Pelodiscus sinensis: one gene and its partners. The main gene of each other region encodes a partner of the protein of the gene in region 2 in a complex. Links are inferred from orthologs where the notes say so. Each region holds a gene or a part of one and is shown on either strand. Other genes may lie near its edges. The genes, in order: LIMK1, PAK4, INKA1 and ITGB5.

Region 1 (8,006 bases), on a different chromosome or scaffold from region 2:
AACCCCCAGCCACAGGAGGGCTGCTGCTGCCTGCTCCCAGCCCCTCCCCGTGGTCCTGCACCTGCTAGAAACCCCACAGCGCCCTCTGCTGGGAGAGGCCAGGCCTGCAGCAGAGTGGCAGGGAGGGGCCTGGCAGCAAACCGTGGGCACAGGTGGAGCTGAAGGACGTGGGGCGCTGGACGCTCCCAGTCCCTCCCCCTTGCCCGACGTGCCAGGCCCTGCCTGTGCCCAGCCAGGCATGAGGGGCATCACCCATGGGGCCCAGCAAAGCCGCCCGCACTCCCCAGCCAGGCCCCAACTGCAGCAGGGATGCCCGGTCTCCCTGGCTGGTCTGGGTCTGGCACAGCCCTTCCTGACTGCCTGAGTGCGGGGGGCTGCAGTCGGAGGTACCTGGCCGGCGCCGAAGGCCGAGATGTATCCAGCAGAGTCTGTGCTGGGGGCAGAGAGGAGCCCAGGGAAGCCAGAATCCAAAGCAGAGAGCAAGGATCATAAACCACCAGGGTGTGCCAGGACTCCACAGCACCATCCCAGTGTGGCCCTGCGGGACTGTAGGGAGAACTGCAACCCCCCCACCTCCCAAAACACCTCACCCCAAGAGTGCTGTGGGTGTGAGACAGTGCACATGTGTATATCTGTGCAAGACTGTGTGTGTGTATATGTGACGTAGTGGGGGTACTTGCTGGGCTGTGGTGACCTCTGCTGTCTGGAGCAAGACCCAGCAGGGAAAACCTCATTATGCAAAGGTGACTCAAAAACCTGTCTGACCTGCGGCCCCCCATGGGGAGAAACAAAGGGAGGTGGAATGCTGCCCTGGCTGTGGGCAGGGCTGGAAGAGGGGAAGTTAGTTCCTGGCTGGAAGGCAGGGAAGAAGGAGCTGGGGGGGGGGGCTGGGACTCCCCTATCTCAAGGGGGGCACTGAGGCCTCTTAGCCCCAGTTCCTGTAACCAGATTACATCTGTGCTGCGCTGTGCTGGAGGAACAATAAACAACCTCCATTCTACTGGCTGGTGAAGTCTGTTCATGCCATTTCGGGGGTGCAGGAGATGGGAAAATCCCGACGCGTCGTCACAGTATATTTCTGTGTGAGACAATGCACATGTGTATATCTGTGCAAGACTGTGTGTGTGTGTATTTCTGTGAGACAATGCACGTGTGTATATCTGTGCAAGACTGTATGTGTGTGTATTTCTGTGAGACAATGCACATGTGTATATCTGTGCAAGACAGTGTGTGTGTGTGTATGTATGTGTGTGTATGTATTTCTGTGTGAGACAATGCACATGTGTATATCTGTGCAAGACTGTGTGTGTGTATATTTCTGTGAGACAATGCACATGTGTATATCTGTGCAAGACTGTGTGTGTGTGTTTCTGTGTGAGACAGTGTGTGCGCGTGTACATATGTGTGCAGGACACTGTAAGAGCGAGATAGCGCACGTGTATATGCGCGCGCGTGTGTGTAAGTGAGAAGTGCACGTGTATATCTGTGTGAGTGAGATATGCCTGTGTACACACACACACACACACACACACACACACACACACACACTGCCACCTTGTGGCCACGACCAGGAGGCGACACCAGCATCTGTCCCTGGACTTCTAGTGTTTGTTGTACCCAGCCGGCCAGGCTGGGGCATGAGGCTGCCCCTGGAGGCTCCTACCTGAAGCAGTCGGTGTGCCAGTCGGCATCCAGGGCCTGCAGGTATTGTCCATCGTAAATACTGTGCCCACAGCTTGCACACACAGGCAGGTCGCTTCCTGCAGGGCCCAGAGAGGCACTGGCTATCACACCCACGTGCAAGGGCACAGCCAGGCCCAGGAGAGCCAGTCTGGCTCCAAGGGCCCTGCACGTGTTAAGGCAACCATGGGGAAAGATGTGGGCAGGGGAGTGGGTGGGAAAGGGACAGGGCAGCAGGGGGCACCGTGGGCAGAGGACCCATGTGAGGGAGGAGAAGGAGGAGCCGGCATGCATGGGCAGGAGCATGCAGTGAAGGCAGGATGAGGCGTGGGGGGTGAAAGGGAGAGGGGAAAGGGGGAAGGGGAACAGAGATTGGGCAGAGGAGGAGGAGGGGGGACCGAGTCTGCCCCTCAGCAGGCTGGACATGCAGGGTGCCAGCAGGAGCAGGGGGGCTGCTGCCTGCTCCCCACTACCAGGACAGAGGCCCTGGCGCTGGCAGCAGAGGCTGGGAGGGCACCCAGCTCCGTGGGAGGTGGAAAGAGAACAGCTTGAAAGCGGAGCTGCCCACAGCAGTAAGGTGATAGGTGGGCCCGGGGAGGGGCCGTGCGCTGGCGCGTGGGCAGGGCAGCTAGGACAAGAGGGGCTGTTGTACCCCAGGCCAGGCCCCAGCTCAGAGGAGCGGGAGCCAGGGGCGGGCACAGGATGAGCCCCCCGCAGCCAGGGTGGGGGCGCAGCTGGCAAAGGACATTGCAAGGGGGGGGCCTTGGAGGGGAGGCTGCAGGTGACCCGGCCCCTGATGCCCTGGGAATAGGCGAGGGCTGCGGACAGCCCCGGCCCCACGCGGGCCTCCTGGCGAGGGATGCAGGGGCCAGGGTGGAGCAGGGATCCCGGCGGCGCCCCCCGGCAGCAGGGCTGGGGGGCAGCTTCTGGCTCAGCAGAGGCCGGGGCTGCCCGCAGTGGGACGCGCCCTGGAGGCCTCCCTAGCGCAGAACGGGGGGGCTCGGTGCCCCGCCCGGCCCCGGCTGCTCAAGGTCACGGCGCGGGGCCCGCGGGCGGCGAGCAGAGCCCGGGGCCGGGCCGGAGAAGCGGCGCCGGTTCCTGCCCGCAGCCGGCTGGCGGGGCGCCCCCATCTGCAGCGCAGCGGCGCCGGGCCGGGCCGGGCCGCGCTACGAACCTTCCTCCTCGCCCATGGGCTCGTCCCGCCAGGTGCAGCACAGGAGCATCAACCTCATGCGGCCGACGCCGGCCTGGGCGCGCCGCCGGCGGGCTCGCTCCGGCTCGCCGGGCAGGCTCGGGAGGGCAGGGCCACGCTCGGCGAGCGGGGCGGGAGCAGCAGCCGGGGCTGGCCAACCGCGCGGCGCCCTGGGAAAGAGCCGCCACAGAAGGAGGGGAGGGGGGCGAGCGGGACCGGGACCCCTGGCAGCAGCTGGCGCCGCGGGCGATGACCCGGGCCCCCCCGCCACACGCTCAGGCGGCGGGGCTCGCCCACCAAAGCGCCTGGCTCCGTGTGTCGGTCCCTACGGTGCCGCAGGAGCCCTCGCTTGAAAGTTACAGACAAACAGCTACCCCCGGGGCTGTAAAGTATCCCGCGACCCCCCCTCGCTGAGCCCCCGACCCATCCGCCCAGCCCCGACCCGCTCACCATCCATCCACCGACCGACCCCCGACCCATCCATCCATCCATCCACCGACTGAACCCCCGACCCATCCATCCATCCACCGACTGAACCCCCGGCCCATCCATCCATCCATCCATCCACTGACCGAACCCCCGGCCCATCCATCCATCCATCCACTGACCGAACCCCCGGCCCATCCATCCATCCATCCACCGACCGACCCCCGACCCATCCATCCATCCACTGACCGGACCCCCGGCCCATCCATCCGTCCACCGACCGACCCCCGACCCATCCATCCATCCACCGACCGACCCCCGACCCATCCATCCGTCCACCGACTGAACCCCCGACCCATCCATCCATCCACCGACCGACCCCCGACCCATCCATCCATCCACCGACTGAACCCCCAACCCATCCATCCATCCATCCACTGACCGACCCCCCGACCCATCCATCCATCCACCGACCGACCCCCCGACCCATCCATCCATCCACTGACCGAACCCCCGGCCCATCCATCCATCCACTGACCGAACCCCCGACCCATCCATCCATCCATCCACTGACCGAACCCCCGACCCATCCATCCATCCATCCACTGACCGACCCCCCGACCCATCCATCCATCCACCGACCGACCCCCCGACCCATCCATCCATCCACCGACTGAACCCCCGACCCATCCATCCATCCACTGACCGACCCCCCGACCCATCCATCCATCCACCGACCGACCCCCGACCCATCCATCCATCCACCGACCGAACCCCCGGCCCATCCATCCATCCACCGACCGACCCCCGACCCATCCATCCATCCACTGACCGACCCCCCGACCCATCCATCCATCCACCGACCGAACCCCCGGCCCATCCATCCATCCACCGACCGACCCCCGACCCATCCATCCATCCACCGACCGAACCCCCGGCCCATCCATCCATCCACTGACCGACCCCCCGACCCATCCATCCATCCACCGACCGACCCCCGACCCATCCATCCATCCACTGACCGACCCCCCGACCCATCCATCCATCCACTGACCGACCCCCCGACCCATCCATCCATCCACCGACCGACCCCCCGACCCATCCATCCACCGACCGACCCCCCGACCCATCCATCCATCCACCGACTGAACCCCCGACCCATCCATCCATCCACCGACCGACCCCCCGACCAATCCATCCATCCACCGACCGACCCCCGACCCATCCATCCATCCATCCACCGACTGAACCCCCGACCCATCCATCCATCCACTGACCGACCCCCCGACCCATCCATCCATCCACCGACCGACCCCCGACCCATCCATCCATCCATCCACTGACCGAACCCCCGACCCATCCATCCATCCACTGACCGACCCCCCGACCCATCCATCCATCCACCGACTGAACCCCCGACCCATCCATCCATCCACTGACCGACCCCCCGACCAATCCATCCATCCACCGACCGACCCCCGACCCATCCATCCATCCACCGACCGACCCCCGACCCATCCATCCATCCACTGACCGACCCCCCGACCAATCCATCCATCCACCGACCGACCCCCGACCCATGCATCCATCCACCGACCGACCCCCGACCCATCCATCCATCCATCCACTGACCGACCCCCCGACCCATCCATCCATCCACCGACCGACCCCCGACCCATCCATCCATCCATCCACTGACCGAACCCCCGGCCCATCCATCCATCCACTGACCGAACCCCCGACCCATCCATCCATCCACTGACCGACCCCCCGACCCATCCATCCATCCACCGACCGAACCACTGGCCCATCCATCCATCCACCAACCGACCCCCCGACCCATCCATCCATCCACCGACCGACCCCCCGACCCATCCATCCATCCACCGACTGAACCCCCGACCCATCCATCCATCCACCGACCGACCCCCCGACCCATCCATCCATCCACCGACCGACCCCCGACCCATCCATCCATCCACCGACTGAACCCCCGGCCCATCCATCCATCCACCGACCGACCCCCGACCCATCCATCCATCCACCGACCGAACCCCCGGCCCATCCATCCATCCACTGACCGACCCCCCGACCCATCCATCCATCCACCGACCGACCCCCGACCCATCCATCCATCCACTGACCGACCCCCCGACCCATCCATCCATCCACTGACCGACCCCCCGACCCATCCATCCATCCACCGACCGACCCCCCGACCCATCCATCCACCGACCGACCCCCCGACCCATCCATCCATCCACCGACTGAACCCCCGACCCATCCATCCATCCACCGACCGACCCCCCGACCAATCCATCCATCCACCGACCGACCCCCGACCCATCCATCCATCCATCCACCGACTGAACCCCCGACCCATCCATCCATCCACTGACCGACCCCCCGACCCATCCATCCATCCACCGACCGACCCCCGACCCATCCATCCATCCATCCACTGACCGAACCCCCGACCCATCCATCCATCCACTGACCGACCCCCCGACCCATCCATCCATCCACCGACTGAACCCCCGACCCATCCATCCATCCACTGACCGACCCCCCGACCAATCCATCCATCCACCGACCGACCCCCGACCCATCCATCCATCCACCGACCGACCCCCGACCCATCCATCCATCCACTGACCGACCCCCCGACCAATCCATCCATCCACCGACCGACCCCCGACCCATGCATCCATCCACCGACCGACCCCCGACCCATCCATCCATCCATCCACTGACCGACCCCCCGACCCATCCATCCATCCACCGACCGACCCCCGACCCATCCATCCATCCATCCACTGACCGAACCCCCGGCCCATCCATCCATCCACTGACCGAACCCCCGACCCATCCATCCATCCACTGACCGACCCCCCGACCCATCCATCCATCCACCGACCGAACCCCTGGCCCATCCATCCATCCACCAACCGACCCCCCGACCCATCCATCCATCCACCGACCGAACCCCCGGCCCATCCAAACATCCACCGACCGAACCCCCGACCCATCCATCCATCCACTGACCGACCCCCCGACCCATCCATCCATCCACCGACCGAACCCCCGGCCCATCCAAACATCCACCGACCGAACCCCCGACCCATCCATCCATCCACCGACTGAACCCCCGGCCCATCCAAACATCCACCGACCGAACCCCCGACCCATCCATCCATCAACCGACCGACCCCCCGACCCATACAAACATCCACCGACTGAACCCCCGACCCATCCAAACATCCACCGACCGCCCCCCCGACCTTTCCACCCACCGACCGACCCCCCGACCCATCCATCCATGCACCGACCGACCCCCCAACCCATCCATCCATGCACCGACCGACCCCCCGACCCATCCATCCACCGACCGACCCCCGACCCATCCACCCATCCATCCACTGACCGAACCCCCCGGCCCATCCATCCACCGACCGACCCCCGACCCATCCATCCATCCATCCACTGAACGAACCCCCGGCCCATCCATCCATCCACTGACCGAACCCCCGACCCATCCATCCATCCACTGACTGACCCCCCGACCCATCCATCCATCCACCGACCGAACCCCTGGCCCATCCATCCATCCACCAACCAACCCCCCGACCCATCCATCCATCCATCCACTGACCGAACCCCCGGCCCATCCATCCATCCACTGACCGAACCCCCAACCCATCCATCCATCCACTGACCGACCCCCCGACCCATCCATCCATCCACCGATCGAACCCCTGGCCCATCCATCCATCCACCAACCGACCCCCCGACCCATCCATCCATCCACCGACCGAACCCCCGGCCCATCCAAACATCCACCGACCGAACCCCCGACCTATCCAAACATCCACCGACTGAACCCCCGACCCATCCATCCATCAACCGACCGACCCCCCGACCCATCCAAACATCCACCGACTGAACCCCCGACCTTTCCACCCACCGACCGACCCCCCGACCCATCCACACACCGACCAACCCCCCGATCCAGCCATCCATCCACCGACCGACCCCCCGACCCGTCCATCCATGCACCGACCGACCCCCCAACCCATCCATCCATGCACCGACCGACCCCCCGACCCATCCATCCACCGACCGAACCCCCGACCCATCCATCCATCCACCGACCGAACCCCTGGCCCATCCAAACATCCACCGACCGAACCCCCGACCCATCCAAACATCCACCGACCGACCCCCCGACCTTTCCACCCACCGACCGACCCCCCGACCCATCCATCCACCGACAGACCCCCCAACCCATCCATCCATCCACCGACCAACCCCCCGACCCATCCACACACCGACCAACCCCCAGATCCAGCCATCCATCCACTGACCGATCCCCCGATCCATCCATCCATGCACCGACCGACCCCCCAACCCATCCGTCCATCCACCGACCGACCCCCCGACCCATCCATCCATCCACCGACCCCCCGACCCATCCACACACCGACCGACCCCCCGACCCATCCATCCACCGACCGACCCCCCGACCCATCCACCCACCCACCGACCCACCGCCCATCCACCCACCGACCGACCCCCGACCCATCCATCCACCGACCGACCCCCCGCCCATCCACCCACCGACCGACCCCCGACCCATCCATCCACCGACTGACCCCCCGACCCATCCATCCATCCACCGACCCCCCCCACCCATCCATCCATCCAGCGA
Region 2 (7,021 bases):
CTCAACAGCTGGCTCATCCAAGCCAACCCCATAATACAATGTTATTAAATGCAGCTGGTTGGCAACATCACCTGGTGGGCCCGGAGTAGGCAAGCATCTGCAGCAACTCCTTTACCAAGCTTCTCAGACACAGTGATGTAGGCACTCGTCAATCTCATTCTACCCCCAAATCCTCAGAGCACATTGCTAAGAGACAAGTCGAGTCATCCTCAGCGTGAATGAGACAAGAAGAGTTTCCTCTTATGAATGAATGAAAAATTAAAACTCAAAAACCAGATGTTGAATCAAAATTTGTAATGGGGGGGAAGGGGCAAAGCAAGAGAAAACCGACGCCTCTTTAGGAAACAGCCAGAGCCTCATTCCTCCCTAGTGTAACCTGACTCTGGTGAACTATCAGCTGAGTGCATTAAGGAACCCAGAAGGTGTCTGCAAACATCCTGGCTTCCTCAAAGCAGCAGTGGGTGGGCACAGCCGTCTTCCTTAGCTGAGAGGAGGTCAGGGGGTTAACAGGGAACAAAGCAGATTCTCAATGATGCGGCACCAGGAGTATTTCTGGATTTACATCTTTAACACACACACAGAGTTTAATGTATTGCTCAGGCAACAGAATTGCATGAAACACCTTCTGAATTCGTCTGATGAAGTGGGTTTTACCCACAAAAGCTCATGATCCAATATGTGTGTTAGTCTCCAAGGTGCCACAGGGTTTCTTGGTCTTTCTGAACTGATGAACTATTTAGGGCTCTCATGCAAACTTTACTCCTGCAAGTAAACTCTCTGACTCTAGAGGAATCCTTGCTGAGGGGGGTGGGGAGAGGAAGGACAGGGGGATGGATAAACTAAGGAGAAACATTGTAAAGAAGGGCTAACTACAGCACCCACGGGGGTTCCCAGCTGATTTGCATCCAAGTACTAGCCAGGCTCCAGAGAGGACCAGGCCCTACAAATTTAGTGCTAGTAAAGATGCAACATGGAAGCTTCTGGAAACGGAGGCCACATCAGTGCTATGGGCAGCCTAGTGCTGACGCTTTCTACAGCAATAGACAGAATTTCTCAGTCATAACAGCAAACCCACCTCCCTAAGGAAGGCCGCTGGGCTGATGGAAGAACGTTCCCTCTGCTCTAGCTGCCTGCACCCTGGGGCTAGGTCACCCTGATGATGGGGGCTCAGGAATGTGGCTCTCTCACTAATAGAGGCAGCAAGGTGGAGCTTGCAAATTACATTAGGGCAGGAGCTCTCCTGGGTAAAACCCACTTCTCACCTGATCGAATATATTTGTGAGTCTCTACGTTGCCCCAGACTGCTCATGGTTTTTAGTATTAAGCAGGTTAGTGCAGCATGAAGGCACCCAACCATGGATTAAAATGAATTGCATTGCACAAAACACAGAGTCCTAATCCACACAACTGGACAATCCAGGCAGGAGCCTGGCCAGCTTCCCCTCTGACCTGGAAGGACTAGCGATGACAGAGGATTTCCACCCCTATGATCTCTGTGCCAAGCCTGCCAAGAATGAGGGTGGCCAGGTGCCAGCGAGGGCTTCCAGCTCACATACGCCACTGAACAATCCAGCTGCGTCACTCCAGACCTGCTCTGGATGTGTAGGTCACCAGTTCAAGATGCTCTTTACCCAAGAGAGTCCCCACAGCTAACCAGACCCTCCCCCAGTTGGGACAGAAATAGCCGCAATCCCTGCGCTGCCTATTGGTCCCAACAATTCAACAGACAGGATGGATTAAGCTGATCGGTGGAGGCGTCTCCCTGGATGTGACGGGTGTGCAGTGCACTGCACTTACTACCCCGACGCTGCTCCCGCGATATCAAGTGCAAGACTGATGCCCATTCCTGGGTAAAATTCCCAGGACTAGGACCTGGAATCCTAAGGGACAGCACTGGAAAATCTGCAGATTAATACACACGTGTTTAACCCACCCAACGCCAAAACGGCAAAATATGAATGTGAAGACTTAATTTTTAGAGCCATTCATGGATTGTAAACACCAAAAAAGCAAAAAGATGCCTTCCACCCTTTTCTGTTGGTACCTTTGCAGAACACTCACTCGCCTATAGCCAGGTTACCTTGGCTGTGTGAGGACTAGGTTTACATCAGCAGGGCAACTAAGAGAGATAATCCCTACAGATCTTCACGCCAGCGAAAGTCTGAGGGCAAGATTTCTGCCCATATGCAGCACCGAAGTAGTTCCAACCCTGTTGCTGCCTCTGGTGCCTGATGGCAAAACAAAGGCCAGCTTGTTGACAAAAGCAGCCAACGCAGCTGAAAGAGTTCTGAACAGATCAAGAACATGGAAACAGATGATGAAAAAGAAAAGGAAGCTCGGCATTTCAGACTGCTCCCCACTTGATTGGTTTTTGTTCTAAATTATCTGTTTCTTAAAGTACTAAATGAGAAACCATCGGAAACGGATGCTGACATGCAATGGCCACATTGTTCTTTCGCCCACCCAGACACTGGCAGGTCTGGAAAGGCACATCAAATTATTCATGTCTACTAATGGGAGAAGATATGCAACCTCTCCAAGTACAGCACAAAAGCACAGGAGATGGACAGAGCCTGGTCAGACTCTGGAGGCTGACAGAGCATGACCAAAAAACCCTCCCCGTATTACAGCATCTTCCAACAAAGTGCTTGCCATAGAGAGGTGACCACAGACTGCACCCTGTCCCATCAGTTCTTTTTCCACTACACTGAGAGAAGCTTAAACTTGGCCACATCCCAGGAATGCAGTGTGCCTGACTGGATTGCAGAAGCATTTTTGTTTCCCCCCACTTGTTTGGAGCGCTTCACATCTCATTCCCTAGTTACCTCGGCTAACTGGATCAGGTTTGGCCACCAGATACACACCACTTGGATATCAGGCCTTTGACCAAGCTCCTCTGAAACAAGAGGCCGTCCGTAAGGATCACAGAGCATTAACTTGTGCTACTTACAAGGCAAAGAGGCATTCAAAAGAAAAACTTACATGCCATTTCTTCATGGGACTGCATCTCTACTGGTGAAGTGCAGGAGGCTGTGCGGCAACTGCAAACAGATGCTCCTTATTTATTACTCTTAGACTCCTCCTCCCTGTCTCCTTGCAGCTCCTCCCACAGAAGTCAGTTGGTTGGTTGGCAGAAGCCTTCCTTCCCCCATTCCAAGATTGAATTGCATGTGTTAGGAGCATTCCAGCACCAACCAGCTGGCCTGCCTACTTGCTCCTCCCAGGCCAGGAGTCAGAGATCCCGCCCACTCGGTTTGTAAATTCCAGCACTTAACCTTACCAAGCTCCCTCTGGGATCTGCTTCTGCAAGTTTCCCTGGCAGCTTTTCCAGTCCCACAACAAAAGGAGTAAGGTAACAAGACAAAAAACACTGCCATACAAAACAGGCATTCTAGTTCATCTCAGTCCCATATAACGGTGTTTCTCAACCAGTGGTACACATACCCTTACGGGTACTCGAAAGAAGTCTGGGGGGTACATCAAAACAACTGAAATTTGGAGAAAACTGAATTTGTTTTCAGTTTTACAGTGCTTTATTATTTTTGTACTTTTTACACCCAAAAATGTCATCACCTGCCCGGCTACAATTAAGTTGTTTAAAAGAAATGTATTGCAATGGTAGAAAAAAAATGGTGTGTGTCTGAAAATTGTAGGCACGGGGGGGGGGGGTACTTTATAAAAAAAGGTTGAGAAACACTGCCATATAATACGCCACAACACTGAAATACAGCCACCTCTTGGGTGGAATGTGGCAGCAGCTGCACAGCACAAGCCGTATACACACTAGTTTAGAAGAGGAAATGAAGCAACCTGTGCCCTGTTAAAATGGAAGGGGTTTGTTATGTTTGAATTCACACAGGGATTAAGTGGTACTCAGCACTTATATGGCAGCCTGGTCAGAGGATCTCAAAGAGCTTTATATACTTAAACCATTAATGCCTATCCCAGGGGCTGCTGAGACAAATATAGGATGAACCTCTCTGGTCCGGCAGGACCACGGATGTTGATGGACCAAAGGATCCCAGTCACGGACCTCAATGGGTGGGAGCTCAGTGTCCTCGAGACAGGGAGCCCCCGGAGCAAGGCCAGTGACTGGGGCAGGGAGCCCTACTGGCCAGGAGTGCAGCCAGGGGCAGGAAGCCCTGCCAGTAGGCCCAGGGCAGAGCACTGGCCAGATCAGCGACTCACAGGGAAGCCCCAGGAGAGCCTGAGCCTGACCTCCTCTGGTCCAGCAAACTCCCTCATTCAGGACCACTCAGGTCCAGGGTGCCGGACAAGGGAGGCCCAACGGGTATTACTCCTATTTGCATTAGGAATATAAAATCCTGTTTAATAGTTAATCAAATACAAGTTACATTTAACCAGTTAATGGGTTCCCGAGGGCAGATACAATACACAGAGCTCCTAACCTGAGTCCTATGCTCTCAAGCGTGTTCCCTGCGCAGGTCCAGTGGCATTTTCAGCAAGTAGTGAACACAAAAGGAGAAAGGCCTCTCTTTCACTTCCAGCAAAGCCCAATCCACCCAACGGCTCCTTTGGGACAGGAGACCTGGACTCAAAAGGTGACTGATTAGATTGCAAGTGGAGGGGTGAGGGGCAAGAATACAGGGGAAGGCAGAAGTATCCTCCCAGGTGCTAGAGACCTCATGTGTTGGCCAGCTGTGGTCACAGACCTCAGTCACTGTAGCTAGCTCCCCCTGCAGTCTGCCCAGCTCCCACATGAAGTGGGAAGGCATCCAGCCGGTCTCAGATGTTCTTCAGCTGCTTGTGTATTTCATGTACCAGGAGAGACCCTCTTTCCCAGCCTGCAAGATTTCCCTTCCCCCCAGCACATCCTATAAAGAAGCTCAAAGCCATCTGGTACTCCTGAAGCACAGGGCAAGTTGGGTATTTGTGGAGTGTGGGGAACATCTTTCCCCACACGGATACCCCACCCCCATCCAGTTTCTTCTGAGTAGCAAATGCTGCCCTGTCCTTAGGGAAGGGACAGCCTACTACTCTGTCCCACCAAGTACGAGGGTCCCCATCTTGGCTTGTGCTTAGGCTCTACAATAGGCACAATTAAGGAAAACAGCTTCCAATGCCTTGATTTTCACAGTGACCTTCTGGCCTATTAGAGAGCCCCCCAGCCCTCGTGCTCAGGAATCATTCTCTTCACAGAGAACCAGCATCCACAGGGCTGGCCAAGCACTGCTGTGTCACCTACCTGATTTGCTGACTCAGGGAAACCTGCTGCCTGCATTCACCTGAGTTAAGCACTAGTGAAAAGCCTCAATGCCCACAACTATGCCTCCCTAGTCCCTATTAGTCACACTGGAGTGATGGCCAGCTTTTTGTATCATCCAGGAAAAGAGCTTCACCCCACTTCCAGGTAATGACTCAGTGTCACAAGCCTCCCAGGGGATGGTAACCACCTCACACCCTCTTTTCACTGTCCCAAGAAAGTTTCTTGCTAGGATCTTTGGTCCCCAGTGAGTCAAGTTTCTCCTTTTTGTCCCAGCAGAAACCTGCAGCCAGCAGCACAATACCTGAGTCTTATCAATGAAAAAAGCAGGAATTCACTACCCTGTTGTGAGACTATTTTCAAAAGTGCTGGGCTGGGGTTTGGCTTATGCCTGCTTCTCAGGAAGCACATGGGTCTTTACACCAGATGTATTTTGCACATGCATGCGTGTGTGTACACACACACACACACACACACACATACACACACGATATTAGTATATTGGCAACACCCCCTCCAAGCCTTATGCAGGACTGGTCAGAGCTACAAGATCAACTACTGCCATCCAATTATTCCAGCTCAGTATGGACATTAATCTTGCAAAACTCTACCTTATGGGCTTTTTCCCCTAAAAGGTTTTGCTTTAGAAATTATATGAGGCAAATCCCATTGCCACTGGACTCCTGGGTTCTTCTAGCCCCTGCTCTGGGAGGCGAGTGTACTTTGGTGGGCTGGAGCAGAGAAGGCTGGGGGCACCTCAAGTCCCTTCTCCAGGGGGAAGCTACCACGGTGGCTGTTTAAACCCTACATTCCAAGGCTAGGAGGGAGCAATCTAGGACTCAGGGTGATTTTTTGAAGCAGCAAGGACTAGCTTTGCCATCCTCACATTTAGGAAGCAGGTTTGGGATCTTGGCTGATGAATTTTCATGATCATTTTGCCCAGCTGGTCTAACCCTTCCCCTCCCCTGCAACATTCCCCTTACTGTTCCCCTCTTGCAGCTCCACACCAAACTGTGCTCCAGTTAGAGTGACACATTCCACAGCCTGCAGTCCTAACCCAGGTCACATTCCCTTTATCTCTCTGCCTCGTTTAATTAGTCAGCCATTAACCAACACTTTTCCCAGCCATGGATAAACAACACACAGCAGAGCACTCCTTCCTGCCAGCACACACCCAGGAGTGTGTGCACAAACCCTGGCAACTCCTAGCACCACCTTCACATACCAAAGTAATACAATGAAGAGGAGAGAGAGTCTGACTGCAAGAAAACCCATGGGTTGCCAAAAAGCTGGGTTCTTCCATATATCCGGGAAGCAGGCTGCTGTGGGGTTCCAAGTATGGAGCTCCCCAAACAGATCTGCCTTATCCTGACTTAGGCACACTGGTCAGAGTAAGTCAGCCTCACCCCACCCTGAAAAAGCCCTGAGTGATGTCATTTGCACACTTGCCTTTGTCTTGAAGCACATTCTGTTTTCTGCAAAGAACATCTGAGCTCAGTGGCGTAGCAGTTCTATGGACAGGGGGTAAGTTAAGCTCAACTAACTCGCACGGCCCCCACTGAGAAGTGGCTGAGCTCGGTTTACCCTGGCTGACACTGCTGGTTCTGGTGGCCGTGGAAATGAGTTATTGGTATCATGGTAACACCTAGGAGACAAGCATGGACCAGGGCCCCACTACAGCACGTTCGTGACAGTTGCTGCCTGAGGGAGCTTACCAAGACACCCTGCCATGCATAGTATCAGCTCAGCTGAAGCAACAACAGACAGAAGGTGCCTTATAGTAGCCAAAGCTCTATT
Region 3 (7,765 bases), on a different chromosome or scaffold from region 2:
CTCCCATCCATGCCCTGCCCCGCCCTGCCCCCAAATGTCCCATACACATCATGGCCTCCCATGCCCTACCACCACCCCATGCATCCTCTGCCCTGTCCCCACAGCTCCCTCCATACATTCCTGCTCCCCCCACTTCCATAACCCCCCCCACACAACACCCTCCCCCATGCACATCCTGTCCCACCCCCACCCTCCCCCCACATGCAGCGTCCTCATGGCCACCAGGTAGCGGCTGCCTCCCTGCAGTCTCCACCTTGCTCACCCCCAGGGCAGCTCCCAGATGACTCACTAGGCTCTGGGCTCCCAGGCAGTGAGGCCAGCTGGGGGCTGAGTCCCTGTCTCCTCTCCGGCGGCCACAGCCCGTCCTGCGGTGCTGAGGGCACCAGGCTGGGCCCGGGCAGTGGTCTCTGCAGCTGCAGCAGCGTCTGCCTGGGCTGGGCATGGAGCTGTGAGGGGAGCCGCACACGCAAGGCCCCACTGCCTGGACGCGCACCCAGCCCCAGGGCACCACTTTCCGGCTGCTCCTGCACTCAGCGGCCCATCCCCGCCGCGTGCTGCAGCATGTCGGGGTGAGCAAGCAGCCGCCCCGCCCTGCCGGCAGCTGCAGCCACAGCCCGGGACGTGACAAGCAAGCAGCAGCTGGAGTTGTGCAAGCCAAGCCTGGCTAGAGACGCAGGGGCAGGGAGAGCTCGGCACTGGGGGGCAGAGCCACGTGGGGGGACCCTGGGTCCCACCAAACCCTGCAGTGCAGGGCAGAAGCCTGGGAATAGACCACGGGGCAGGGGCGCTTCCCCACGCAGCCGGCGCAGGCCTTGGGCCCAGGCAGGAGAGAGCTGAACTATGCAGCAGGGCCAGGCCCATGCAGGGCACCCCCAGCAGGACCTGCTCAGATCCCTTTTCAGTGCCACCCCCGGAGCTGTCCCATGCCCTGGCCTTGCTCTAACCACTAGCCCCCACTCTTGCCGACAGCAGGGAAGCCCTGGGTGCTGTATGCGTAGGGGCCAGCAGGGGTGTGCGTGGCTGGAGGGGAGCGAGGGCAGGCGCCGCCAGGCCGTGGAGCAGACGGGTTTAGGGCCTGAGCAAGGCGAGCCCGGCCTGAGACACTCCCTGGTGCTGCCAGCTCCATGCTTTGGGGTGGGGCTCTTCGTGCTTCCTACCACCCCCACGTCCCACCACGCCCACTAACCGCCTCGGCTCCCGCTCAGCACGCTGCTTAGGGCGCGGCTGCACTTCCCAGAAGGAAACCTTGGCAATTGCAGCCCGGCCCCTCTAACTGCCACAGCCGAGACACGGGGCCCGAGCCCAGGCCGCTCCCGTGCCACAAGGGGAACAACCACCGACCCATCGCCACCCTTGTGGCCCTGCCAGTGGCGATGGCACCAAGGGCAGGCTCACTCCACAGGCTTTGTCCCAGAGATGTGTCAGTGCCAGCTCCTAATTGCACCGCAGAGCATGGGGCACATAGTCTCGGGGGCCAAGGGACCCAGGGGGTGTCCAGCTCTGGGTTTGCTCCCAGGCTGTTCTGGGCCAAGCCAGCTGCCTGAGCATAGTCCTGCAGGGGGTGGCTTGGAGCAGCTGGGCCTGGCAGCCTGGCCTCCAATGCCACAGAAACTGGCACCCGCTTGGCTCCGCCGAAGCTCCAGCCTGAACTGGGCCAGACTCGCCCTGAGCTGCTGCTCAGGAAAATACCCGGCCAGCAGGCAGGCCCGATGGCCAGGGCCAGGCCCCCGGCAGGCAGAGAGGTCATGCCCAGGGCTCTGGGACAGCTACACAACCTCCCTGTTCAGCCCCAGGGCAGACCCCCAAGGGCTCAACAGCAGCTACTATCACTTGTCAAGCCCAAAGCCTGAGCCAGTGTGTGGGGATTGGTGCACCCAGCTCTGACATCACCACCCCCGGTAGCTGATTGGTTCCTCAAGGTCTGACATCACTATCCTTGGTGGTTGATTGGCTCCCACAGCTCTGATGTCACTATACCTAGGGGGTTGGATTGGCTTCCCTAGCTCTGATGTCACTGTCCCTGGTGGCTGATTGGCTCTCCCCATTCTGATGTCACTGTCCCTGGTGGCTGATTGCTCTCCCCATTCTGATGTCACTGTCCCTGGTGGCTGATTAGCTCACCCCCATCTCTGATGTCACTGTCCCTGGTGGCTGATTGGCTCTCCCCGTTCTGATGTCACTGTCCCTGGTGGCTGATTGCTCTCCCCATTCTGATGTCACTGTCCCTGGTGGCTGATTGGTCCCCCCCATCTCTGATGTCACTGTCCCTGGTGGCTGATTGGCTCTCCCCGCTCTGATGTCACTGTCCCTGGTGGCTGATTGGTCCCCCCATCTCTGATGTCACTGTGCCTGGTGGCTGATTGGTCCCCCCCCATCTCTGATGTCACTGTGCCTGGTGGCTGATTGGTCCCCCCATCTCTGATGTCACTGTGCCTGGTGGCTGATTGGCTCTCCCCGCTCTGATGTCACTGTCCCTAGTGGCTGATTGGTCCCCCCATCTCTGATGTCACTGTGCCTGGTGGCTGATTGGCTCTCCCCGCTATGATGTCACTGTGCCTGGTGGCTGATTGCCCCCCATCTCTGATGGCACTGTCCTGTCACCCCAACCAGCTCTTAGGCACACTGTTGACATCAGCTGGAAAACAACAAAAATGCCGCTTTGTATCAGCAGCCTAAAGCGAGGGGAACCCCCCCCCGCCCACAGAGACAGCGCAACCCCCACGCTGAGCGCTCCCGCCTGCTGCCCCACACGGGAACCGGGACCCTGGCAAGGAGCCAGATTTTCAGACATGCCCAGGGCCATGGGGGGACAACAAGGGGGCAGTGCCCGGGTCACGCGGGGCGCCGGGACCATAGGCCCGGCTGGGGGGGGGCGCAGGCTCCTCTGGCTTTTCGCGAGTCCCTGCTCACGTCTGGAACTCGTGGCCAGACAGCGCCCCGCTCCGCGGGAACCCCCAGCCGGGCAGCCCAGCGCGCAGAGAGGGCAGGTCTGCCCGCGGGGAGTCCCGGAGCCGGGCAGGGGCCACCCGCCCCGCGGTGCCAGGCGCGCCCCAGACGCCCCGGCCCGCGCCCCTGGCCTCTGCCAGGGTCCCCCGCGCCCTGCCCCGCCGGCCACTCACCACCTCTGCGCGCAGGCGGCCGAGGGAGGCGTCCAGCCGGGCGCGGCGCATGTCGGGGCTCGGCGGGCTGGAGCCCAGGGCGCCCGGCGCTGGCCCGGAGCCGCGAGCTGGTCCCGGCGCTCGCCGTCCCAGGCCCGGCCCCCGCCCGGAGCAGCCAATGAGCCCCGATCCTCCCCTTCCCGGGCCGCGCCGGGCCAATGGGCGGCCGCAGTAACGTGACTCCCGGGGCGGCGGGGGCTGGAGCCCGATGCGGGCATCCCGGGGCCCGACGGCGCGAGGGGCCCCGGCCGAGCCGCCAGCCCCGGGCACCAGCCGCCCCTACCGGCCCCCCAGCCCCGGGCACCAGCCGCCCCTACCGGCCCCCCCCCTCCAGCCTGGGCACCAGCCGCCCCTACCGGCCCCCCCCCTCCAGCCTGGGCACCAGCCGCCCCTACCGGCCCCCCAGCCCCGGGCACCAGCCGCCCCAACCGGCCCCCCCCCCCCAGCCCGGGCACCAGCCGCCCCAAACGGCCCCCCCCCAGCCCGGGCACCAGCCGCCCCAACCGGCCCCCCAGCCCCGGGCACCAGATGCCCCTATCGGCCCCCCAGCCCTGGGCCCCTACTGGCCCCAGCACTATGCCCTTTGGGGCCCAGTACCTCCTGCGTTTCAGGTGGCCAAGTCTAGAGTCGCCCCAGAGCAGCACCCCAGCCCCACCATTCCCACCTCCTCCTGCAGCCCAGGCCATACACCTGCAGGGGGTGGGGTCGCATGGGGCGGGGGGGAGTTCTCTTGCACTTTAAACCCAGGATCCTGGTCCAAGCCCCCAGTGTCCCAAGGGGACATGGCTCAGGTTGCACCGGCCGGAGGCTGCTGGTTTGGTAAAGGCGGCGGGGGCCTCATGCCAGGTGAGCTCCTTTGGGCATTAGGCACCAGGTGAGAAATCCTCTCTTGAGTGTACGTGCGTGCGCATCTAGTGTACGTGCGTGTGCATCTAGTGTACGTGCGTGTGCATCTAGTGTATGTGCGTGTGCATCTAGTGTACGTGCGTGCGCATCTAGTGTACGTGCGTGTGCATCTAGTGTACATGCGTGCGCATCTAGTGTACGTGCGTGTGCATCTAGTGTACGTGCGTGCGCATCTAGTGTACGTGCGTGCGCATCTAGTGTACGTGCGTGTGCATCTAGTGTACATGCGTGCGCATCTAGTGTACGTGCGTGTGCATCTAGTGTACGTGCGTGTGCATCTAGTGTACGTGCGTGTGCATCTAGTGTACGTGCGTGTGCATCTAGTGTACGTGCGTGCGCATCTAGTGTACGTGCGTGCGCATCTAGTGCACAGCTGTGCTCTGTGCTTGTGTCTGTGTGCGGGCATGATCATATACACATTTGTGTGGGGCTTTGCAGGCATGTCTAGGTGCACGTGTGTGTTTGCACACCTATCGGTGCACGTGTTCGTGTCTGCACGTGTGTATGCACATGCACGTTCCTGGCCTGGCCCAGCTCTCCATGCAGACCCTTGGGTTCGTGGCCATGACCTGTGGACTGTGGTTTGCCCTAATGCTAGTGATCTCTGCAGCAGCCCCCCCCACACACACTTCTCCCCGAGTCCTTGGGAACTGGACGCCAAGGGGGAGAGCGCTGCAGGCACCCTCTGGACCAGGGTCGCTGCGCCCCCTCAGCTCTGCTGCCATGTGGGCCGCCCAGACCAGGGGCTGACAGGCTGCTGTGGCTCTCCACAGCCAAGCTGATGTCTCCTTCTGGGACTTGCCCCAGAGCTGGGCCCCTTGCCCCAGTCCTGCTTGGGGAAAGCCCCCTGCACTCATTATGTGCCCTGGTCCCCCACATGCCCACTCCTGCTCTGGCTGGCGTGGGGCCTCCTAGGCTGCCCCATTGCCCAGCAGAGCCCGGCTGGGCTCTTGGGCAGGCCCATGTGCTGAGATGGCAAAGGAGCCGACTGCCCCCTTGGCACTACATGCAAATCACTCCGCGAACCAGTTTGCATTTTAGCAAATAATTTGCATATTTGTATATAACCCTAAACACCATTTAAAATCTGCCACTTTGGTTCCGGCAAAAGGCGTCTGCGGGTGCTTGCCCCTCCCGCCAGCCGGCTCCCGAGCTGGGGCGGCTGCTGGGCCCTCCACAGCCACAGCCTGGAGCTCCCTGGAGAGAGCGCGCACAGCCTGGCCCGCACCCGGAGCCAGGACTCCTGGGTTCCAGCCTGGCTCCGGGCAGGCAGGAGGGACCTTGGAATAGAGCAGTGGTTCAGGCCGTGTCGTCCAGTCTTTCTGCATGGCGGCGAGGCCGTGGGCAGAGCTGTGGGGCTGCCCCTGCCCTGGAGGGCCAGTCGCAGGCTCACGTTGGACTGTGCTGCCCCACCCCATGCCTGTGCCCTGGCACGGAGGGGTTAGGGCTGACATTGGCTGCCCCTTCCCCAGCCCTGGGCCAGGCCCCTGGAGCCTCCACTGGACAGAAGTGCACAGGGCAACTGGAAAGCAGCGGTGCCCCGGTCACTGCAATGGAACGGCTGCGCTCGCTGCGAGCCGGGCCATGCTTGGGGCTGGAGCAGAAGCCGGGGCCTCGGCTGAGAGCAGGGCTGCTTCCTGCGCCCCACGTGCCAGCTGCCTTGTGCCCTCGCCAGCTCCCCCCTTGGGGGTCAGCTTAGCCCCCAGCCCACAAACCTCCCAGCCCAGAGCCCTGGCTCCCACCCGCCTCCAGTCCCCGTGCCCCCGCCATTGCAACCCCCAGCCACTGCAGCCCAGCATGACAAGTGCTTCATCGGCCCCGCCCAGACAGAGGCTCAGGGCTCCCCGTGGGGCGGGGGTGGGGGGCGATGAATCACCTGGGAAGCTGGGCTGCTGCACAGGTTAGAGGGAACACTGCCCCCTGGCCACTCGACCCCCCCACTCCCAGCCTACAGCCCCCTGCTGCCCTAGCGCTGTACCCACTGCTGGGCAGCAGGGCATCTGCTTTCAGTCCTGGCTTTGGCAGAGCGGGATGTGCTCTGGGGGTGCCCTGGGCACAGACAGTGCAGACAATGAGCCTAAGTGTGGGGGTCACGTGAGGGAAGGGCTGATGGACACATAGCCACACCCAGCCAGACACAGACGGATGGACAGCCACGCCCAGCCAGACACAGATGGACGGACAGCCATGGCCAGACGGACAGACAGCCACACCCAGACAGACACAGCCGGACGGACAGCCACGCCCAGCCAGACGGACAGCCACGCCCAGGCAGACACAGACGGACAGACAGCCACGCCCAGGCAGACACAGCCGGACGGACAGCCACGCCCAGGCAGACACAGACGGACAGACAGCCACGCCCAGGCAGACACAGACGGACGGACAGCCACGCCCAGGCAGACACAGACAGACAGACAGCCACGCCCAGGCAGACACAGACGGACAGACAGCCGTGCCCAGGCAGACAGATGGATGAAGCAGACCAAAGAGAGTGGATGAGCTGCCCTGGATCGTCTCCAATGTCTCCACATCTTCCCTGAAATTTGGTGCCCAGAACTGGAGCCAGTCCTCCAGCTGAGGCCTAACCAGCACAGAGAAGGGACGAGAGAGCCAGGGCCAAGGGCCATGGCAGGGGAACAGGCCCTGATGCCAAAGCTGCATGAAGGGGAAACAGCCCAGAGCAAGTGACAGGCCCCTGGGAGGAAGCCTGATGCACGAGGAAGCCCTGGTGAAAATGGCTTGTGAAGGCACTCGTGCAAGGGAAGAGTGGCTCTGTGAAGCCCAGCAAACCAGTGGCTGCCGTCGAGTGCTGAGCCGGGCTTCCAGCCAAGCCGGGCAATGTGGATTCTTCTCCCAGCGACCCAGCCTACTGCAGAGACTCTGCTCCATGTGCCTGGCCCCAGCCGCACAGCCCGGCCATGCTCCCACTGTGCTCTGACTGAGCCGGTCTTTGGTAAGGCCTCTGCCCCGCCTCGCTCAGCACAGCTTGGCCACGCTGGGTCCCCTGCCTGGGCTGGACAATGACGCAGAGCTTCGGCTGCATTCCCAGCAGGCCTGTTACCCGCAGGAAACTGGCCCAGCAGCCAAGAAAATCCTGCAGCAGGAAGACCCATTCCTTGCTCCTTGGCGCTCCAGATGGGCGCTGATAACTGGCCTGGCTGCTGGCCAGCCCAGAGCTATTGTTCCCACTTTGAGAGACCCGAGCGCCCAGCAGCCGAATCAGAGAAAGGCACAAAGGGCTGAGGGCGGCCCTGGCTTCTCTCATCAGTCGGGGCAAAGCCAAGCAGCCCTGAGACGTGCGGAGGAATCACAAGGAAATCGGGCTTAGCGCTGACCGACCGGGCGGGGGTGCAGGAGTAACAGTCGACTGTTCTGAAAGCTCAGACTTTGGAACTAGAAATACAAGGCCCAAGAACCCAGCCCCTCGGCCTGGCGGCAGCCCCCTTCCCAGCCTCTGCGAGCCTGAGTTCTGTGGCTGGTCCGGGCGGGGACTGTACTGGAGTCAGGAGTCGGCCGGGGCAGGATCTCAGGAGTTGGATGCTGGGGTGACAGGAGCAGGAAGCACAAGCCCTGCAGTCCAGAGTGGAGCCCCGTTCAGACAGCTCCCTGGGCCTGCGGCCGGACCCCTGGGTTCCCAGCGAGCAGCTGCTGCCTGCGCCGGAGGAGCACTGAGCCCGGGGCTGTGTCGAGCTCAGTGT
Region 4 (7,957 bases), on a different chromosome or scaffold from region 2:
TGTTCCAGGCTATAGCACTATTCACAGGATGAATAGCTTGTAAATGAAGCTAGTTAAAAATGTAAACACAAAGGATACATAAATGAATAGTGAACTCAAAGCAGTTTATTGGGCTTTCTTTATAAAAGACCAGTACTACACTAACAGAGAATGCCATTTCCAGTATTATCAGAGCTGTTTTAATAGGTGTCCAGGAGCCATAAAAGCATCCCTGCTGAGGAGAACAATGACAGCTCTCTAGAATAAGTGCAATCTTCACATTAGGCCTGAACCTGAGCCAGGAGCAATATAAGGAAAGGCAGCCTAGATATCAACATATAATAAAACAAGTTTATGGTTTTTATTAATACTGTTATTCTCCATCTAGATCACTGAAGGCCTGTAACCCAAACACTCAGAGAAGCCTAACCAAAATTCCAGGAAGGAATATTTCTTCAGTTGAAGTTGATTATAATCAACATTATTCCTTTTCATGCCAAGTAGAGAATGGTTTGAGTTGTAAAATACTGATCCACAAAGTTTAAGGTGGTCCACATCCAGGGATGTGGTCTCTAGACCACATTCAATAATAGCAAATCTCTACCAATTCTGAATGTAAGGCATTAAAATGAAAAAAACCCCATGAGGACCTAGATATTTGCCAATGAGCAACAACATGCAAGTTCTTTGCACTATGGAGCAAAACACAAAAATTGTTTAGAAACTATTGGAAATTAAAGCCCTTCATAAAAATTGCTCTCTAGTCAATATGACTCTTGGCATGCTCTCTATTAGTCTCTCAGGGCACTTAGAGAAAAATAACAGGCCTGTTCAGATAACTACTTCTTGTGCTATTGTGACAATTTTTGCTGCACCTGGATACAAAGCCCTGGTCAACACTGTTATTTCAGAGTAACACATGAAACACTACACTACAAAGCCAAACTACACTACACAAAGCCGTCCACTCTACAAAGCCTGTTATTTTGAAATAAGGGGCTGGTTACTTCGAAATAACTCCTGCTTTCCTCGGGGTATAACGTGTATTTCAAAATAGCAATAATGTGGACACTCCACTGCTGCTATTTCAAAATAACTACTCCCCAGAGTCATTCAAAGTAATTACTCCCCAGTGCTTCCTTAGGCTCTAAGTCAAGGTAGCACATCTCCATTAGGGGAGCTGGCTTCGGACTAATTTCAAGGCTGCCCTGTAATGCAGACACACTATTTCAAAATAGTTATTTTGGGAGTTATTACTTAAAAATTAGTTATGTAGTGTAGACACGTCCAGAGATCTAGTAACAGAAGGGTAAGCTGATCACATGAGGTTTCCTGGGCTTAGCTGAAGACAACACACTTCAAGTGTGATTTCTTAAAGCTACAGAAGTTTTGAACAACAAGGCACAGGTGGTTGTTATTTACCACTGTGATTTTTGGAAACTGAAAAAATATATGATAAACAGTAAACATTTTGGAATATAAAACACAAACAAAACACAGAAGAAAAATCAAGAGAATCTTTGCACTGGTTAACTGCTCTATTTAATTGGGACTAACTTAAAAGTACAGAGCATGAAAGTTATTTTTGGTTATGTGGTCTCTGGGATTTTTTTCCCCCCATTCGGATTGATAGTAAAAAGGGACACACCTATCCAAAAACCCTTGAGCACCCTGACACCATTTACAAAAATAAAATGTAACAACCTGCCCCCAAATTTGATGGAGTTGGCTGTTTTCTGAAGCACAGGTAAAACAAACTCATGCTTTCATTGTTTGGCTTAACTAGGGGAACTATGGACTGTAAAAGGATGATGCACGTGCATGCACTTGGTGAGATCTCTCCCTTTCCCGGTGCATTTCTGAAGGTGTTTCAGAGTAACTCTGCACTGCATCATCAGCCTTACACCAGATACAATTCTCCATGAAACTAATTCAACTCCTTTATCAAAAGCCACTTATGACAGAGCCAACCCAGGCATTCAAAACACCTCTCCCCGACATGAACAGTCCTTGGCTCGCAAGGCGGGGAGGGGAGGACCTACTACAGAGATCTCTTCTGGATAAATGCCCCCAATCTGCGGTGGCTGCCCCCTCAGTGGTGGGCGAAGGGAGCTCTGAGAGAGACAGCGCTTGGACAGAGCTTTTGAGTCGAAAGGCTCTGGACTGGAGAAAGCCCCAGGACCAAGGCAATGGAATTCAAAACAACAGGTTATTTACAACCTTCAAACCACAAAGTGTTTTCAAGGAGCCTTTTGTCCTGCAAGAGGCAGCCCCAGGAAGGGGGGGGGGGGTTCCCCTCTAAGAAAGGCGGAGAGGGGACCAAATCCAGAACTGTGGCCCCCCGAATTTGGTGCTTGCCAGGACCCCCACAATTAGTCACTTCCCTCGCCCCACCCCACGCCGCACGCCCCACAGCGCTGCCTGTTCCCATTCGCAACCCCGCAACGAAAACTCCTCAGTTTGCAACTCGAAACAACCCGCCGGGCCCGGGAGCCAACTTACCCCTGAGGCTGGGGAGCAGGGAGGAGAGGAGCAGCAGGCAGGCGGCGCTGGGGGGAGCCAGCCCCCGTCTCCGGGGCATGCCTGCAGAGGAGCCCGCCGCGCTCTGCTTCCCTCCCGCCCGGCGGCGGCTTTAGCGGCGGCAACAGCTGGAGCCGCAGCTGCCTGCCCGGCAGGGGGCAGCGCGCTGCTCGGCCGCGGCGGCAGGAGCGATGCCGGGCTGGCGGGCAGGCATTACTGCCCCGGCGGCCAGGTCACAGCGGCCGCCGCCCCGGGGGGACCATGCAGCGAGCCCCGCCGCGCCTCCCGCCCTCAGGGGATCCCCACCCCGGCCATCAGCAGCCGGCGCCGGCCTGGGCTGCAGCGCCGCGGGCTCACAAGCTGCGTGGTGGGACCGCCCCGTTCCCCAGCCCTCGGAGGAATCCCTTCATCGCGCCCTGCCCGGCTCTGGCTCACGCTGCTGCTGCTGTCCCCTCCCTCCCCGCCTGCTCCGCTCCCTCCTCCGGTCTCCTCCCCCTGGGTCTGCCCCACGCTTCCAAGGCTCAGCAACTTTCTGCCTGCAAGACGGAGCGATTGAGAAATCTCCCCCAGCTGACCCGTGAGCACGCAGGGCTGCTGAACACTTAGCTGCCCGCTGGGAGTCCTCGCCCGGCGCACACACGCCAATAGACACACAATCGCTCCCAGGCTCCACCCAGACACACAACCCCTGACCTACACACCCTCACAGCACTCTGCCCCCGGATACACAGCACGCACAAGACTTTCAATTAAACCCACACAATCGCACACGCCCCAGACAGTTCAAACACATACTCTGAGGTATGCAAACAGCTACAAAGACGTACCTCACACAAATTCTCAACCCACACACCTCCTGTCCAAATGGGTATGGTTTTATAACTTGCCATGGCTTGGCCGAATTCACTTTTTATTTTTTTGTAAATTCAGTGGCTAATGTCAATGTTTATTCCTAAACATTTTATATTTTTATCAACTTTAATTTTTAGAGTTGTGAGAAATTGTCACCTAAGAAGGAGCCTAGTTATTATTTAGTGATGGCATATGCTGAGATTCAACAAGTAAAAGTTTCATAACCATTTAAACACAAATTGTCAATATTAAATGTAAAAATATACAGTTACAATACAAATATACAGTATCCTTAAATCAAACTAATACATTTTCAAAACAAGTTTTTCTTATTTGGTCTGTCTATAAATGTTTATTTTCAATAGAAGTATTTTTCATCAGTTGTGTACACACTGTGAAATCAACATTTTACTAATACAAATTCAATTCTTTTAATGCCTGCCCTCCATTTGCTTACATTAATGTCTTGTAGTGCATTTCTGGAAACATAAAGAACAATTCAGATCTATAGAATCGCCTGTCTACTGTTAACTCCAAGTGGAAGGATTATTTAAATATAATTCCCTGAATTTCCTCGCTACCTTCTACAGTTTCAGAAGCAGGTTCAAAAAAACATATTTTCTATCCATTTGTAGCAGTTAGAAAACATTTCAGTTCTAGAGGCCGACTGTGGGTTTATTAAGGCGTTTCAGTTGCTGTTTTGATTTACTACTTTCTTTTTCATGGATTATAACCCAGTTCTGTAATATTAAAGGAAAATTCCAGTAATTAGTTATACTAGTTTAGGCTTGAATTCTAAAAGCTTTTCCACTACCTGTCTGGCTGGATTGAGACAGAGTATGAGCCTAAGAGACACGAAGTGCACACATCTCCATTCCTAAATCTAATATTTACATATGTAAACATTTACATATGTAAATATTATAGTGTTCAGAGTTATTTTTGAAAAAATGGTCAATTGTGTTGTCATAACTAGGAAAGATTATGAAACTGGATTTATTCTAACTATTTGTTATCTATGTTCAAACCTTCTGTTAGGAATTGTTGACACACAAACGTGCCACTTTCACTATACCAATATATATACAGCAGTACAAACCCCTTAAGGTGGACACAGTTGTACCAGGATAAATGTACAGCTTCTTCTCACATGGGAAGGGGAATAAGCAGTCTTAACCCTGAAATTACAAAACCCTAAGTCAGACCCCACAACAATCATGCTGGGTTGGGTTTGCTTATTGTTTTAAAGATTATAATGTGTATTTGGCCTGCCTTGATTTTTGTACTTCTTCCACCAGTGCCCAGTCTGTGTGTGTGGGAGACACAATTAGACTGCCAACACTCCTAAATTTATGTGATACACTAAAAAAACAACAAATAGTCTGGTAGCACTTTAAAGACTAACAAAACATGTAGATGGTATCATGAGCTTTCATGGGCACAGCCCACTTCCTCAGATGACGAGAGTGTTAGATGTCCAGAACTAAAATAAATAGGGGAGAAGGAAAAAAACGGGAGGGGGGGGGAAACAAGAAGAGGTAGTGAGTATAAATATCCCCTTGATATTTTTATAACCACTACCTCTTCTTGTTCCCCCCTCTCTAATTTTTTTTCTTCTTCCCCCTTCTTTTCCCCCATTTATTTTAGTTCTAGTCATCCAACACTTTGGTCATCTGAAGAAGTGGGCTGTGCCCATGAAAGCTCATGATACCATCTCATGTTTTGTTAGTCTTTAAAATGCTACCAGACTATTCCTTATTTTTAAAGTTCATTCTGTACAGACTAACTCTGCTACCCCCTAAAACTTTTAAATTTATGCAGTAATTTTGGCCCCCACTACAGGAACTTTTGCCCTCACATCCACCTTAACCCTCTGCTAAACAAACAATCAGGAGCGGCCCTAGACAAGCTGCCGGCAACTGGCGCCCTGGGCGAAACATGCGATCGGCGCGCCCGCCTCCAAAGCCCTCAATGGCCGTTTAACTTAGCGCCCTAGGTGACCACCTAGTTTGCCTGTATTGATGGGCCGCCACTGCAAACAATCAGTGCTATATCACAACACCCTACCCCCTTCCTGATCATTTCTGCCCATTCCCTCACCCCTGCTCCTCTTGCAACACTTGGACCTTCACTTTTGCAACCCTTCCCTAACAGAGATCCCCTTCAAACCGTCACTTGATATACAGGCATATATAGGGATATACTTACGTCGGATCCACACTTATGAACGGGGCTTTTCTCGCCCCGGAACTCGCGGGTGGCGGGACCACTCAGACGCGCAGTAGTCCCGCCACTACATCCTCCGGGGCGAAAAAAGCTGCTCCAGGTGTCCCTGGTCTGCTGGGGGGGGGGGTCCCCAGCAGACCAGGGACACCCGGAGCAAAGCCTTGGAGGCGCGTGACCCCGCCGCCTCCGCGGCTTTGCTCCGGGTCTCCCTGGTCTGCTGGGGGGGGAGGGGGCGCAGCTAGTGCACCCCCCCCCCCCGCCCAGCAGACCAGGCTTTTGTTGTGGATGCCTGGGGTAGAGCAGCTGGGGTGCTGCCGGGTTGGTCCTGGGGGGACCTACCCGGCAGCGCCCCAGCTGTTCTGTCCCAGGCTCCAGATTCAGCCGCTGTTGAAACTGATCAGTGGCTGATTCCAGGAAGCTGGGGGCAGAGCAACTCTGCCTAGGGCTTCCTGTAGTCAGCCCCTGGTCAGTTTCAGCAGCAGTGGCTGAATCTGGAGCCAGTTCCGAGTTACGTACAAATTCAACTTAAGAACAAACCTACAGTCCCTATCTTGTACGTAACCCGGGGACTGCCTGTACTGAGATACCACTGAACCTGCCTACCTGCTCTTTGTGGCACCCCACCAGCCTGGCCTGCTGAGCCAGATCCTCTAGTCTCCTCCAGCGATGGTACAGAGTTGGGGTCACAGCCCCCAGTAAATCAACACAGACACTGACATTAGCTCTGGGAAGGGTTAGTAAAAGGGAGTAGGCACAGCATTCAGGTGCATAGCCTCAATGGGACCAGAAAAATCTATCTTCCTCTGTATAAACTTTATACAGTGCAATCTCATAAATTGTTCACCCAGTTTATCAATTAAAAAGTTATGCACAGCTGTTGTTCTGTGCCAGGATAATATTTACACTGGGTTTATTAATAAAATGTGATTTTATTAAGTATAAAAAGTAGGATTTAAGTAGTTGTAAGTAATAGGAACTTACTTTTACTTCAGGGGGGAGGGATAGCTCAGTGGTTTGAACATGGGCCTACTAAACCCAGAGTTGTGAGTTTAATCTTGTAGAGGCAATTTGGGGCAAAAATTTGCCAAGGATGGTACTTGGTCAGGCTGTGAAAGCAGGGGACTGGACTGGATGACCTTTCAAGGTCCCTTTCAGTTCTAGGCGATAAAAAATTAATTAATGGAGATTGCCTAATTATTTTTACTTTGATCTATCTGCTGAGCAAAACAAAATGTGCCAGCTAAACTGAAGACACTAAGGACCTGTCTACACTAGGAAATTATTTCAAAATAACTTATTTCAAAATAATAATTCCCAAAATAATAATTTTGAAACAGCGTCCCCCCACTACGGGGAAGTCTCAAAATTAGTCTGAGGCAGGCTTCATTAATGTGGACATGCTCCTTCAACTTCGAGCCCCAGGAAGCGCTGGGAGTAATTAGTTTGAATTACTCTGGGGAGTAGTTATTTCAAAATAGCTACACCGGATCGTCCACGCTACCATTATTTCAAAATAACTATTCAACATTAGCATTATTCCTCGTAAAAAGCAGGAGTTATTTTGAAATAATGGGCTTGGTAGTGTGAACATTCTGCTTGTTATTTCAAAATAAGGGAAATTATTACAAAATAACTCCCTAGAGTAGACCAGAACTAAGAAACTTGCTACATATAAAATTTCACCCTGAAGTTTTTAACCAGCATCTGTCACAGACTGGGCAGCCTTCCCCATCTGGGCCTAGTCTTAATATTCAGTTCCACATGTTTGCAGCAGACATCTTAGATGGCAAACAGGGGTGTCCTGGCATCTGGCTATCATCCCAATTGGTTTCCTGCTTATATACAGATTTTACCCAAATCTGGAATCCTTTGTGTTCAGTTCAAACTTTTCTCACCTTCAGTGAGAAAGTATGATATCCAAGATGGGTTCCAACATCAGGTGCCCTGGCCACATGTCTTGTAGGACCTGCCATAGTCCAGGCTTATAGGAAGAATAAGACTATTCACAGATCATTGTCCCAAGTACAAGGCTTTTAAGCTCCTTGAGTACTACTAATGGCCCTCACTTAGCACATCTACATGAGTAGTCAGGTTTATACTTTAAATACAGGAATGACACATGCACACAAATATACACATTCAGCAGTTTATAATTTCTTAAATGACATGTTACTTGAAGTATTTTATAGAAAGTGTTTTTAGTTACGTCATTGCTATTTATAAGCATTTTTTCCATGAGGAATATGGAAACCCCTTTTCTCAGGCCAGAATTGTGTAAGACTGCAACAGGGTTCTTTTCTCCCCCTTCCAGGCTGGGGGGTGGTTGTGTGTCTCCCCTTTTTTGCTCCTCCCACCTCTTCCTTCCCCTCTTCCCAGGCCT

The links.
Region 1: the proteins of PAK4 (region 2) and LIMK1 are in contact, whole or in part, in a crystal structure (PDB 6WLY), measured with the Homo sapiens proteins. The link is inferred for Pelodiscus sinensis from reciprocal best matches to the Homo sapiens genes PAK4 and LIMK1. Residues at the interface, in NP_001014831.1 of Homo sapiens: Glu329, Gly330, Ser331, Gln358, Arg359, Leu362, Thr404, Asp440, Lys442, Ser443, Asp444, Phe461, Leu475, Val476, Gly477, Thr478, Pro479, Tyr480, Trp481, Met482, Glu507, Phe516, Pro520; in NP_002305.1 of Homo sapiens: Lys505, Arg506, Tyr507, Thr508, Val509, Val510, Gly511.
Region 3: the proteins of PAK4 (region 2) and INKA1 are in contact, whole or in part, in a crystal structure (PDB 4XBU), measured with the Homo sapiens proteins. The link is inferred for Pelodiscus sinensis from reciprocal best matches to the Homo sapiens genes PAK4 and INKA1. Residues at the interface, in NP_001014831.1 of Homo sapiens: Ser331, Gln358, Arg359, Glu361, Leu362, Thr404, Asp440, Lys442, Ser443, Asp444, Phe461, Leu475, Val476, Gly477, Thr478, Pro479, Tyr480, Trp481, Met482, Arg489, Glu507, Glu512, Phe516, Asn517, Glu518, Pro519, Pro520, Met524; in NP_976248.2 of Homo sapiens: Gly178, Arg179, Ser180, Arg181, Gln182, Pro183, Leu184, Val185, Leu186, Gly187, Asp188, Asn189, Cys190.
Region 4: the proteins of PAK4 (region 2) and ITGB5 are in contact, whole or in part, in a crystal structure (PDB 7S46), measured with the Homo sapiens proteins. The link is inferred for Pelodiscus sinensis from reciprocal best matches to the Homo sapiens genes PAK4 and ITGB5. Residues at the interface, in NP_001014831.1 of Homo sapiens: Gly330, Ser331, Gln358, Arg359, Leu362, Thr404, Lys442, Ser443, Asp444, Asp458, Phe461, Leu475, Val476, Gly477, Thr478, Pro479, Tyr480, Trp481, Met482, Glu507, Glu512, Phe516, Asn517, Glu518, Pro519, Pro520, Met524; in NP_002204.2 of Homo sapiens: Ser762, Arg763, Ala764, Arg765, Tyr766, Glu767, Met768, Ala769, Ser770.

The regions. Positions count from the first base shown.
Region 1 is NW_027465956.1:66,391-74,396, forward strand, and holds the start of LIMK1 (LIM domain kinase 1), read right to left. Parts: upstream 3,013-8,006; 5' UTR 2,913-3,012; coding exon 2,855-2,912; intron 1,761-2,854; coding exon 1,664-1,760; intron 1-1,663. UniProt on the Homo sapiens protein: Serine/threonine-protein kinase that plays an essential role in the regulation of actin filament dynamics. Acts downstream of several Rho family GTPase signal transduction pathways.
Region 2 is NW_027465946.1:419,721-426,741, reverse strand, and holds the start of PAK4 (serine/threonine-protein kinase PAK 4), read right to left. Parts: upstream 3,009-7,021; 5' UTR 3,008-3,008; coding exon 2,983-3,007; intron 1-2,982. UniProt on the Homo sapiens protein: Serine/threonine-protein kinase that plays a role in a variety of different signaling pathways including cytoskeleton regulation, cell adhesion turnover, cell migration, growth, proliferation or cell survival.
Region 3 is NC_134721.1:46,340,363-46,348,127, forward strand, and holds the start of INKA1 (PAK4-inhibitor INKA1), read right to left. Parts: upstream 3,007-7,765; 5' UTR 443-3,006; coding exon 263-442; intron 38-262; exon of another isoform or gene 1-37. UniProt on the Homo sapiens protein: Inhibitor of the serine/threonine-protein kinase PAK4. Acts by binding PAK4 in a substrate-like manner, inhibiting the protein kinase activity.
Region 4 is NC_134717.1:11,252,612-11,260,568, forward strand, and holds the start of ITGB5 (integrin beta-5), read right to left. Parts: upstream 3,014-7,957; 5' UTR 2,561-3,013; coding exon 2,482-2,560; intron 1-2,481.